Tribolium castaneum: one gene and its partners. The protein of the gene in region 1 purifies or fractionates together with the protein of each later gene. This does not show direct contact. Links are inferred from orthologs where the notes say so. Each region holds a gene or a part of one and is shown in the gene's direction. Other genes may lie near its edges. The genes, in order: hyd, polo and dual specificity tyrosine-phosphorylation-regulated kinase 2.

Evidence for each region.
Region 2: the proteins of hyd (region 1) and polo purify together in Homo sapiens (affinity purification with mass spectrometry; 4 studies listed by BioGRID and IntAct, with this or other methods). This does not show direct contact. The link is inferred for Tribolium castaneum from reciprocal best matches to the Homo sapiens genes UBR5 and PLK1.
Region 3: the proteins of hyd (region 1) and dual specificity tyrosine-phosphorylation-regulated kinase 2 purify together in Homo sapiens (affinity purification with western blotting; 3 studies listed by BioGRID and IntAct, with this or other methods). This does not show direct contact. The link is inferred for Tribolium castaneum from reciprocal best matches to the Homo sapiens genes UBR5 and DYRK2.

The regions. Positions count from the first base shown.
Region 1 is NC_087398.1:9,885,129-9,888,587, reverse strand, and holds part of hyd (E3 ubiquitin-protein ligase hyd), read left to right. Parts: coding exon 1-874; intron 875-1,135; coding exon 1,136-1,271; intron 1,272-1,391; coding exon 1,392-1,636; intron 1,637-1,687; coding exon 1,688-1,800; intron 1,801-1,854; coding exon 1,855-3,240; intron 3,241-3,264; exon of another isoform or gene 3,265-3,393; intron 3,394-3,459. UniProt on the Homo sapiens protein: E3 ubiquitin-protein ligase involved in different protein quality control pathways in the cytoplasm and nucleus. Mainly acts as a ubiquitin chain elongator that extends pre-ubiquitinated substrates.
Region 2 is NC_087398.1:11,007,926-11,012,069, reverse strand, and holds the start of polo (serine/threonine-protein kinase polo), read left to right. Parts: upstream 1-1,262; 5' UTR 1,263-1,397; coding exon 1,398-1,490; intron 1,491-1,543; coding exon 1,544-1,768; intron 1,769-4,144. UniProt on the Homo sapiens protein: Serine/threonine-protein kinase that performs several important functions throughout M phase of the cell cycle, including the regulation of centrosome maturation and spindle assembly, the removal of cohesins from chromosome arms, the inactivation of anaphase-promoting complex/cyclosome (APC/C) inhibitors, and the regulation of mitotic exit and cytokinesis.
Region 3 is NC_087403.1:4,166,261-4,170,677, reverse strand, and holds the start of dual specificity tyrosine-phosphorylation-regulated kinase 2, read left to right. Parts: upstream 1-1,466; 5' UTR 1,467-1,908; coding exon 1,909-2,808; intron 2,809-4,417. UniProt on the Homo sapiens protein: Serine/threonine-protein kinase involved in the regulation of the mitotic cell cycle, cell proliferation, apoptosis, organization of the cytoskeleton and neurite outgrowth. Functions in part via its role in ubiquitin-dependent proteasomal protein degradation.

The DNA.
Region 1 (3,459 bases):
CAACCTTACGTCTCCAAACAGACCGGAACGGCACTTTTGGATAAATTCTCCTTGTGTTTCCTTGTCAAATGCCAAATGGTAATCGACGTACTTCTCGAAACCTTGATCAGAGAAATGAAAAATCCAGATGCGAAACAAGCCCAATACGCCACAATGGTTTCGCGGCGATTCGTCCGCTCAGTTGTGCGTATTTTTGTCGTTTTTTCCATCGAAATGGCACCGAACTCGACGAAACGACGCAGTTTAAGCAACCAAAACCAACCGTTGACTAAATGTCGCAAAATATTCCAAGCTTTGAGCAAACTATCGATTGAGGAGCTGTGTGAGAGCGCTGACGCTATTATGGCACCGGTTCGATTGGGCGTAGCACGACCAACTGCCCCCTTTTCACTTGCAACATCCGTAAATGACGTTCTAAACGGATCGGAAGAATTATTCCTAGTTGATCCTTTAGCACCGTCGAGTTCACGACCTTCTGGGTCTTCAACAATGCCGCGGTTTCCGTTTTTGGCCGAAGCTGTGCGAAGAGCGGCCGCTAATGCACGCGATCTGGCAAACGCTCGCGATTTATTGAATTTGAATGATGGTGAAAGTATGGCGATTGATAATGACGATGATAATGCGTCCGAACATGAGGATGTTCCCGCTGATCGTGAATTGCCAATTACTGTTAGACAGTCGTCGACTAATGAAAATGAAACGGTCGAAGCTGCTCCGTACCAACAGGAAAGTCGAATCCAAGGCGAGGAAAGCGATCCCGAATTGGATCTGTTGGCGGAGACGGAGTCGGATAGTGATGATAATCATAGTAATCAGGATGCTGCATCTGCACAGAGGTCGGTACAGACGGGAGCAACGGCCGGATCTGATACCGGTAAGTCAATTTGATTGGTGGAGAGAAAGGGAGAGAGTGAGGAGCTAGCTCATACCTATATTAATCTATACTGCAAAAAAAAGACATAATTTAAAAAAACAATGTTTCAAACATCGCATTATCTTAATAACGTATTGCATTCAGCAATTTATTTCTTGTGTGCCGACGATACACACAGGGTCTAAGGCAGTATATTTTAATATAGGCGTGTGAGAGCGGGTGGTTGGTTGCATGTGTATGCAATTCTGTGTAACTTATCAGGAGGTATGCTGCTGTTCCCGGAAGACGAAAGCGGCGAGTCAAGCCAACAGGAAGAGGAAGAGAGCGAAGCGGGCGAAACTGACGAACAGGACACTGAAGATTATACGTTGACGGATGAACAGTTGGAGCGAAGAAGGTAAATTTGACAATTTTTCTTAGCATTTTTCTTCAAGTAATTTATTTTATTATGATTATTGGCTCTTGATTTAGTGATGTTTTTTGTGTTTCTCATTACTCTGATTATTGTCTATGAAAGAAGCCGTTACAGCAATACGACCGGTCATGGACAGAGGAGCAATTTGGCCCCGCAGAATATGCAATGGGCAATACGGTCACGTGAAGCAAGCAGATCGGCTGGTGTTCGATTGGCCAACGGTTCTAATTTAGTTTTTATTGATCCCAGTACGTTAAGACGATCTACGACTGGAAGTACGGCGGTCGCTGCAAGCTCGGAACCGGTGGCCATGTCCACATCGGCCAGTTCCTTAGCTAGGGCCTTCGGTAAGTACAGCTTTTACGTACTTGTATTTTTTAACTTACTAATCATTACAGGCGCAATTATTCGCCAAATCACGGACTTGTTATCCTCACTGCCTGACCTGAATCAAGCCTTGTCGACTGTTGCACACATGGAAGTGTCACAAGATGATATCTACAACATACAAGTGAGTTTTTAGTAATTTTTCTAACTGGACACATGACTGGTTGTTGCTTCGTAGATTTATCTAGAATTCCGCCTGAAGCCGACCTGGGATTGGCTTTTGACAGTGATGGACGCCACTGAAGCCCAACTGAAATTCGGTGCATCTCTAACCAATTCTCTCGATCTTTCGAGTCCAGGTCATCCGCTCAATACCGGAATTACGACCGGAGTCTCGGCAAATAATTCAAGCAATCTTCGATCGAGTGGTCACCGGGGTCATACCATTTCCAGTAGTTCTGGTACACGATTGGTCGGTTTTACCACAAACGTGGAAAGTCGAACTCGACCTGAACGCGATGGTGTGGACGCTCACGCGGCCCGGAGAGAATTTCTCTCCTATTGTTTGTCATTAATGAGAGCTCACAACAACGAACATTTGGATTCGTTACCGATTTTGGACGTTTCGGCTTTGAAACACGTTGCTTATGTTTTCGATGCTCTGATTTATTTTATGAGGTCGGGATCATCTGACCGCAATGATACTGACTTGCGACGTGATGGTTTTTCGCTTCCGTTGTGGAACGATCAAGACGAGAACGAGAACGAAGAAGCTGAGGAAGACATAGCCGTGGCAATGGAAACTGAAAGTTTGGAAGACCAAGATGTTTCTAATCTTGCGACGATTTCGAGTACTTTAAATTCGTCGAGTTTGCAAGGAGGGTCGGGAAAAGGTCGCAAACATTCGTTTTTCCAACGATCGGAATCCACTTTGTGTCTAGGTTGTCCTCCACCAGATCCTTTTGAAACGCCAATGGCTGAAGCACTACCACTGGCCGACCAACCTCATCTCCTACAACCCAATGCAAGAAGGGAAGATTTGTTTGGGATTCCGAAACAACCAATCACTTTGGCCTCCACTGGAACCATTTCAAACAATCCTCTCGAATCACTTCCTACGAAATTGAGTCTTTCGACTCGAACTACCGATTTTGCGATGAGTCAACCGGCAAAAGCCAACCACCCAATTTCCCAATCGTTAAACGTTATGGGCCCTAACCCCTTGATTTACCCCCAAAATTACAACCCAGAAACAGAAACAAACGCTCGAGAAGTGCACGTCCAGACTGAAACCTACTCCAACGAACCGTCAACATCCGATGAAACCAAAAACAAGAACTTGCAAACTTTTGAGAGTCTCCTCGCCGCTGTTAAGAATGAAATTGGCGAAAATAGCAAAGAAAACACTCCGCATGACTTATCCTCGCGACATAATCAAGAAGTACCGACATCGAGGCCGCAGATTATCGTCTCGCCGAGAAAAATTTCCGAAGTTTCGAGTCAGGAGCAACAAGAAGGTTTGAATGGTTCGAGCGAAGCCACACAGGATTATAGTAGTGGATCGACGACTCCATCCTCCAGAAGTCCAAGCAAGAGTGTGATAGTTCGAGCGGGATCGTCAATGGTAAGTTGTAGAAAAAATATCGCGTGGACCTACGATACGTACGCTCAAGCTTAACATAACGGGCGTATCACACTCAGGTCCTAGAACGAATTGCTCTCTGATGACTTTGGTTTGTCGAGCTTTGAACCAAGGACAGATACGGGGCATACATTTCTGTAAAATAATACAAGGCGTCTAACACCCAAAAATATTAAAATATATTTGGAACTTCCGATTTTT
Region 2 (4,144 bases), about 1.1 Mb from region 1:
CAAAATTTTGAACAGAATTTATCGTTTATTCAATGAAATGTTTCTTTGTCAAACTGCGCAAAAATATCTGTGGCTAGCAATGTCAAAAAAATTAACATAACTTGAAAATTATCACAAATAAGCATAAGAAATGCCAACACAGATCGTTGCAGAATTAAATTTTCTTCTATTTAGTGAAATAAAAACTTATAGCATGTAGAAGCTGTCCAAAAATAACGTTAAGATTTTGGATTTTGTAAACTTTTTTGAACACACTGAAGGAAAGATTTAGGCTTTGTTTTTGATTGGCCAAATACTGTTTCTAAAATTCTAAAAATAGCAGAATTTACGATTATTGAAGTGAAAGGTGCAAATCCAAAAATTTCCAAAAAATTCTGATTATTTAGAAAATAGCTAAATTTAGGAATAGGAAAAAGCTAATAAAAAAGTTCATAGCGATTTTCGATACAATCGGAAGTGCCGCCATTTTGAAAATATTTTCAATCAATGAGCTATGGCTCTAGGCTAATTTTCAGATAAATGTTATTATCAAAACTTTCAGTACTTTTTTCAATACTCCGAAACTTAGTTTAGACAGAACACTTTGTATTCGTCAAACATTTTCTCGTTTATTATTAAACTCTAATAAAAATAAGTCAAAATAAATTTCCCGTGTGCCTTTTTTTTTCCTCGAAAACCAAGTGCAGTAATAATAATTGCCAGATTTATTTTTTTGTGAAAAAACAGTGTTCTCATAAATCATACACATTCGATGTTGCATAACAGATGACGCTTTGCAGTTTTGACTTCCCCAAAAATAAAAATACGTACATGTTTATGGTGTTTTTGAAAAAGTGTAGACAACGCAAAGTTAAAATTTTATATTTTATAAATTTTTATAAAACGTATAAAATTTGTCTAGGAAGAACAAGAATTTTAGGAGTAGGCCTTCGCCCTGCCTGAATGCGCGGCCTACAGTCCTGTATAAATTTCTGTTTAGTTTTTTTTTAATATTAATTGTTAGGTTGTTAGCTAGGCAACGCCCTCAGCAGAAGCATTTTGTGAGTTGCATAACACATAAATCAATGTTTTGATAGACTAAATTTAAAATACGGTCAAGATCAGCGTTTGGCCCAATTTTTGATCGACCAAACCAAAGTTGTTGAGTCAATATAAACCACTTTGTGTATTTTATTGTGGTCTATTTTTGTTTGGTGGTTAGAGATCGCGTTCTGCAAGTAGTCACTTCCGTTGACAATTCTTTTTTCCCCACCATTTTCCTGTCCAATCAGCCAATCAGCTGCCGGCGTTTGAAATCTTCTCAACTGCCAAAAGTTTTTCAAGCCGTGGTGGATGCTTGCCGTAAAAACCCAACCAAACGCAATAACTGTGAATAAAACTAGGAGTAATTAGTGAAAATGTCGAAAGTGGACGATTATGTCGTAGTTCCCGACTATATATACGACGAGAACACGAAAATTAGGTACAAAAAGGGGCAGTTCTTCGGCAAGGTTAGTGTTGTTTTTGTCGATGGGTTCATGTGATAGTGGCCGTTTTTTCTTAGGGCGGATTTGCAAAATGCTACGAAATTACGAATGTGGCCAACAGCCAAACGTTCGCCGGGAAAGTCGTCTCGAAAAAGCTGATAGTCAAGGAAAACCAGAAGGAGAAAATGACTCAGGAGATACAGATACACAAGTCGTTGAAACACAAAAATATTGTCGGTTTTTATAGTTTTTTCGAGGATACGGACAATATTTATATAGTTTTGGAGCTGTGCAGAAAGCGGGTGAGTTTTTGGCCCTTTAAACTGCGTCTGTTTCCTGGTTGTTATCGCTGCTCACTCTGTATTATGGGAAACTATAATATTGATAGTTTTATCACCAAAACTAATATTTAAACTGATGTCTGTCATGGCCAATGGTTGCACAAACAAAGAGCTAAATTAATTGGTAAATTAAACAACAGTCCACCTCTTTAAGACACTGTAGTTTGTATAATTAATTATTCATGTTGGTATCACTTGTGGCGCTTATACTTGGGTTTCTAAGTTAGGGAGGTAGTTCTAACTACAGTTTCCAGGTTTATTAATTTCAAAACCTCTTTTGACTCAAGTCGTAATGGAAAAGATTGTAGCAAAAAAATTATATTAAAATACCATTTTTATTGTACATAAATAAGAAGGGTAAATTATGAATGGGGGCTATGATGGGGGCTCGTAGATGACTTTGGTACCTTAGGCCCTAGTTGGTATTCCTTAAAACCTTTGATAAATTTACAAGTAAACAAAGTGCTTGCCAAAGTTTTTTGGAAAATATTTCAGAAAGCAAACACAGTTATTGATAAAATTGTGTTACTCTTATCTTTTGAGCTTCCTAGCTGAAAAATCATGAAATTAAAGCGAAATTTATTTAATTTAGCTTATTTTATTCGATTTTGCTCGTTTTTTTCCAAGCCAGTAAACACGTGTTTGAACTTACATTCTTAGTTTCTTGTAAAAATCACTAAATTTACTGAAACATTTTTTTTCCTTTTCCATTTACAGCCAATAAAGGAATTATCCCTGAAAATTGTGTACACGAGATAAAAACTAAGTTTTTTTTTTAGAAAAATTTACGCGAAAATGTGATTATTTCAACCAGAGATTCATTTATTGCACAAGAACTTTTTACAACAATAAATCTTAATCAAAAGTAATGTTATTTCTGCCTGTTTTTGAGCATTTAAGCATGTTTTAGAGCTAAAACCTGTTTTTTGAGACCGAAAAATTACCAGTTTGAATCCAAAATTATTTCGTTTTTTTTTTTTTCACCAGCAACGCAAATTTTTCGCGAAATCTCTTAAAAACAAGTCGAAAAGTCACCCAAAACATATACTAAAATGGGTGTTATTTTAGTGTTCTTCGACTTTCATTGAGTTAAAAATTAAGTTTTTTTCAAAAAATATACCTAAAAGTGGATGAAAATTCACCGAATATATCGAAATTTTTATTTTATATTTTTTAGTTCGAGGCTGATTTATTTGGAATTGATGTCAGTTTTTTTCGATTTATCACGTTTTTGGGCGAAATTTCATCAATAGTAAGCTTAAAAGATAAAAGTTTGGTCGCAAAGTGTGTTATTTTTATATTTTCTAAGCAAGTGTTTGGAGTTTCTTATGAATTTTCTAAATTTAGCTGAGTAAAATATTCTTTTTTCTTTTCCAAATGGTATTTTGTAATGAACAAACCGAAATTTCACCAAGTCACACTGAAAATTGTGTGAATTCTGAGTTTTTCGAATATTTAAACATGTTTTGAGATATTAACTAAATTTTTTTTAGAAAAATTTTGCTAAAGGTAGGTAAAAATTAGAATATTTTAACCAGAGATTCAATTATTAATTAATACTCAAAAATTTTTTACAACAATAAATTCTGATCAAAAATAACGTTATTTCTGCCTTTCTTGAGTATTTAGACATGTTTTAGGGCTAAAATCTCTATTTTTTTTGCTAGAAGTGACCGAAAATTAAAAATTTAAATCTAAAATTATTTCGTTTTGTCTTTTTTTAGCACGTTTAAAAAAACAGACCGAAAAGTCACCTAATTTTACTAAAATGGGTGTTACTTTAGTATTCTTCAACTCTTGAGTTTTTTTTTTTTTTCGAAAAATTTACCGAGAAATGGATGAAACATCTCCGAATTAGATCAAAATTGAAGTTGTCTTATATTTTTCTAAGTTCAGACTGATTTACTTTGCTAGAACTTGTTAAAAGACTCGTAAAAATCACAAAATAAATAGACATTGAGTTTTTTTCGATTTATCGCGTTTTTTAGCAAAATTTTGTTATAATAGGCCGATAAACCACAGCATTTAGTCGAAAAGCATGTTGTGTTTGCGAGTGGTTGACACCAGTGGCGTATCCACAGGGGTTCCGTGGAACCCGGGCCCGGAGCCTAAAAGGGCCCGCAAGCTTCAAGAGCTCTTCGATTCAAATTTTAATGAAAAAAATTGTTTCTAAATTTATCCCAGGCAATAGGCGATTGTTGTAAAGTATAGTCTGCAATTGTAAAGCGATACGGTCTAAATAATACTACGAATTCATAAAAATGTCTACGTTAGTCGAAGCATTAATTGACAGAACGTGTTACAAATTCACAACAAAATGTTAAATAAAAAAGTCAC
Region 3 (4,417 bases), on another chromosome or scaffold:
TTGTCCATCAAAACTACACAACTAAAGGCCGCTTCACAAAACAATTAATTAATGTGACGTAAGTAGCAACTTAATTCGAATTAATTTATTCTTGAATTATAAGTTTTAATCCGCTTTTTTTAAATATTTGCATTCATATTTTAATTCGCGTAACAATTTAATTTGAGTTAATTTAGCATTAATAAATCGATGAAAGTCCATTTTGGATATTGCATCTTAGTTGGAGAATTGTTCGGCCCCCACTGCGTGCATTCGTGTCTCTTGAGAAATTAGCTACGCCAAAACCATTAGAAGATTTTGTAATAAAATAACCAACAGTTGAGTTGAAGCTCAACTAGAATTCGCTTTCTGGTTGGGAAACAAAAATTTGAACCCATTTATTGCGTTTACTTTTATTGTAAAGTAAATTATTTGCGAATGAAAACAATAAAATGTCGGTTCATGTATCATTGCACTTGTAACGAAATTGATTTGTCGATCGAGACGTCTTAATTGATTCGCCAAGCAATCACATTGCTGAAAAACTGGTTCTGCGGCGATGTGTGAATGCAATTGCAGGGCCTGGGCCAACCCACTCGCATCTCCCAAACCACTTCCCTGATAGTGGGGACATTTCACCGAATACTCCACCAAACAAAGCGGTCAAAGCGTCAAAAGACGCACTCTTTTCGTCTTTGTGACACTCATAAATAATAATAATAATAAATAATAAGATTATGTATTGCTGTAAAGAGCACTTTTGGCACAATTATAAGACAAAATATTGTTTTATATCCGATTTTGATATTGTTTTTGATTAAGTGGATATTGTATTGCTGGTTATACCTGCCTGTCTATACTTTGTAATACGATTACCTTTTGTTCTGAAAGTTTTGTGTAATTCAATCGGCTTCACAGTTGTTGATGCAGTTCTATATTTCTTTGTTGTAGAAAAATGAAATCGTAAAATGTATGATGTGATTTTCTACGTTCCAATGTCGGCCAATACACAATAGAAAATAGTTATTGAAAAAAAGTTAGTTTCCAGTGCAGACATGCAATTAGTCACGTTGTCTCATCATCGCTTCCTGGTAGTGAAAGTTAATAACATCTGATAAGAACTCGCAGATTATCATCCACACGATAAGCTTTGGTGGTTTGAAATGTAGTAGCAAAGCAAATCATTTACCACCTGCCTACTCACGAAATTATCTTTTAATTTGTTTTAAATGTTTAGGTACAGTTAAGTTTCGAGCTTTGAAAATACAAATATTATGAGAAATTTTTGGTTTTTGTTTTCTCTGTATGAAATTATGATTTTTATGTGAAAGCACTACAAGTGTGGCATTGTGTAGTGATTTCGATTATATTGACGTAATTACGCCGGCTGGCATAACTTTTGAGAAGTCAATGACCCTTAATTGTTGAGTCAAGGACGAACTGGCGTGAATATATTTTTCGGAAGGGTTTTGTGAGGGGTGGAAGTGAATAAAGTGGTGAAAAAACGTAAAAGTGTTTGTTTTCTGTTTATTGTGTGCAAATGATTGATAATAAGCGGAGTAAAAAAATATTTGTTTGAAATTTCGAAAATGGGCGGCTCTAACTGGCTGGGATAGACCAATGGTGTCCGGGTAAATTTGAGTCGAGGAGGGTCGAAGACGGCCGAGAGGTTTTGTGCAGGCAAGCAGCGCCACCAGTTGGAGCACTAGCACTAGATCGGAAATATGGCTGTAAAATAACCAAAATCCCTTTGTTATAGTTAAAATGTTTTTGTATTAAAGTGGAGGCCAAACGCGTGTCGCTGGTGGTTGGCGGCTCAGGATGTGGAAAAGGGTCCAGTGCGAGTAAGTCCGTGTATTAGTTAGTGGTGCGTGCTAGTGATGGTTGGCCATCAACCTCTGGGCTTGGGGAAAATGAAACGCGCTAGAGATGTCTAGCGCTGCAGTGGCCAACTCGTTGAAGATGCCGATGTCCCGCACCCAGCTGTTCTCCTCGCACTCGTACCTGGCCGAGGGGGGCGGCCTGCCCCCGCTGAAGCCGGCGGCGAAGGAGCAGAGCCCGCCCGCCGCCGCCGCCCCCGGCGGGCTGCCCGAGCTGCAGGTGGTGGGCTCGTGCGCGCTGCAGTGCATGCAGCCGCACATGCTGCGCCCCAAGGGCTCCCCCGGGCCCCCCGACAAGCACAAGACCATGGTGGCCACCCCCGACCAGGTGATGAAGCTCTACATGAACAAGCTGACGCCCTACGAGCACCACGAGATCTTCAACTTCTCCCAGATCTACTTCATCGGGGCCAACGCCAAGAAGCGGCCCGGGATCATCGGAAACCCCAACAACTGCGAGTACGACAACGACCAGGGCTCCTACCTGCACATTCCCCACGACCACGTCGCCTACCGCTACGAGGTGCTCAAGGTGATCGGGAAGGGCTCCTTCGGCCAGGTGGTGAAGGCCTACGACCACAAGAACCACATGCATGTGGCCCTCAAGATGGTCCGCAACGAGAAGCGCTTCCACAGGCAGGCTCAGGAGGAGGTGCGCATCCTGGAGCATCTCCGGAAGCAAGATAAAGACAACACGATGAATATCATACATATGTTGGATTCGTTCACGTTTCGTAACCACATGTGCATCACTTTCGAACTTTTGTCCATCAATCTCTATGAACTTATCAAGAAAAACAAGTTTCAGGGCTTTAGTCTACAGCTAGTACGCAAATTTAGTCATTCGCTACTACAATGCCTTGATGCGCTTAACAAAAACAAAATTATACACTGCGATATGAAACCGGAAAATGTTCTGCTGAAACAACAAGGAAGAAGTGGACTCAAGGTTAGTACAACCATGCTACACCCCCCAAATTCACAACAATGCCAAAAACTCACATCCACGTGTGGGTGGAACACATGCATTTCAAAAACTACAAAACAAACCTAACAGTTTTAGTTTTTTATTTTTATTCATATTGTGGGGTTGAAACTGGGCTAGAAATGAAATTGTACATTTATCAATTTTTTATCGAAATTTAATTCGGATTTAATGGACAACAAAGACTAACTTTACATATCGCACATCCGGAAGAGAGGCAAAACTAATTAATTATTAAAAATTTCAAATAAATTTGCCGGCTCATGGCTGCAATATAACTATATCTTTCGGTTTTATATTACGAAAGATAATTATTTAATGTTTGACATTTTTGCACGTGCGAATGTTCTTCCGCAGGTGCGATTAATTATCGCAAAAATATTCGCATAGTTATGTGAAGATTTGCAAAATTGGCAATAACACTTTTTCCTCTGATAACATTTACCATCAGAGATTAGGTAAGTATTTAAAATGTGCACACTCACGGGGAAATTCGTAATCTAAATCTTCGTCACAGAAATGTAGGAAACTGAGGAAATTGAATAAACATACAGGGTTGTTCTAATAATAATAATAATAATAATAATAATAACTCTACACGTAGTAAAAAAAACACGTCAACAGATACATTAAAATGACAACCGAAGTGGTACTTAAAATCTACAAATTTTGGAAATTTTTTTGAAAACACACGATACAAAGTATTAATCTATGAGTTCTGTTCGTTATAACCGGGTCCCACTGTAATAGTTTTGGGAACTGCAGTTGTCGGAGGATAATTGCCAGTAGTTTGGAACATTTATTGATGCTCAAAAACTGATCGAGTGCAGATATGGGAAAGCATTGCTATTCTATAATAAATAAATGGGAAGTGTGGTAAAAAATAAATCACTCTTGATTTTGTCTGAGCCAAATAAAGCGTAACTCAACATTATCCGTAACTACAATCTAGCAATTGAAAGACTATAACTAGTTATTAACAATAAGTCTGACTTCCTGTTTGGTCCAGGTATTTATTATCCTGTATATGCTTCACATAGACTGGTCACGATATTTGATGCATCGTTGCTTTTTCATTATAGTTGTAGAAATGGTGGTTTTTTGTCACTGAATACAATAGTGAAAACAAAGAAAAACATGTTCTTACTGAGACAAAATTAAAATTAAACGCCAGAGGAACTGTGCTACAATAAATTTAAACTCGGCGACACTAATCTAAACTTAGCTTTCTAAACAAAACAATGATTTCTTGTTTTGGTTAATTGATCAGATTAGAACGTGATGAATACCCCGATTGTTTTGAATATAAGGCAAACCGCAAGTTTAATACAATTTTATCGTATTCAGTTACCGAGTGCAATATTCGCCAATATCGATCGGTTTTGACAAGAGCACTTTCTACGAATTGATTGTATCTCAGCGAAAGATTGTCACTCTTGACAGCCATAAATTTGGACTTTATTATTTTAGAAACTGCACTTAACCATGAACAATGTGTCTTAAGTTCAACATACCTAACTATGAAGCACTTAAGTGGAAAGAAATCTACGACAGCGTCTTGGACAGGTTTTCG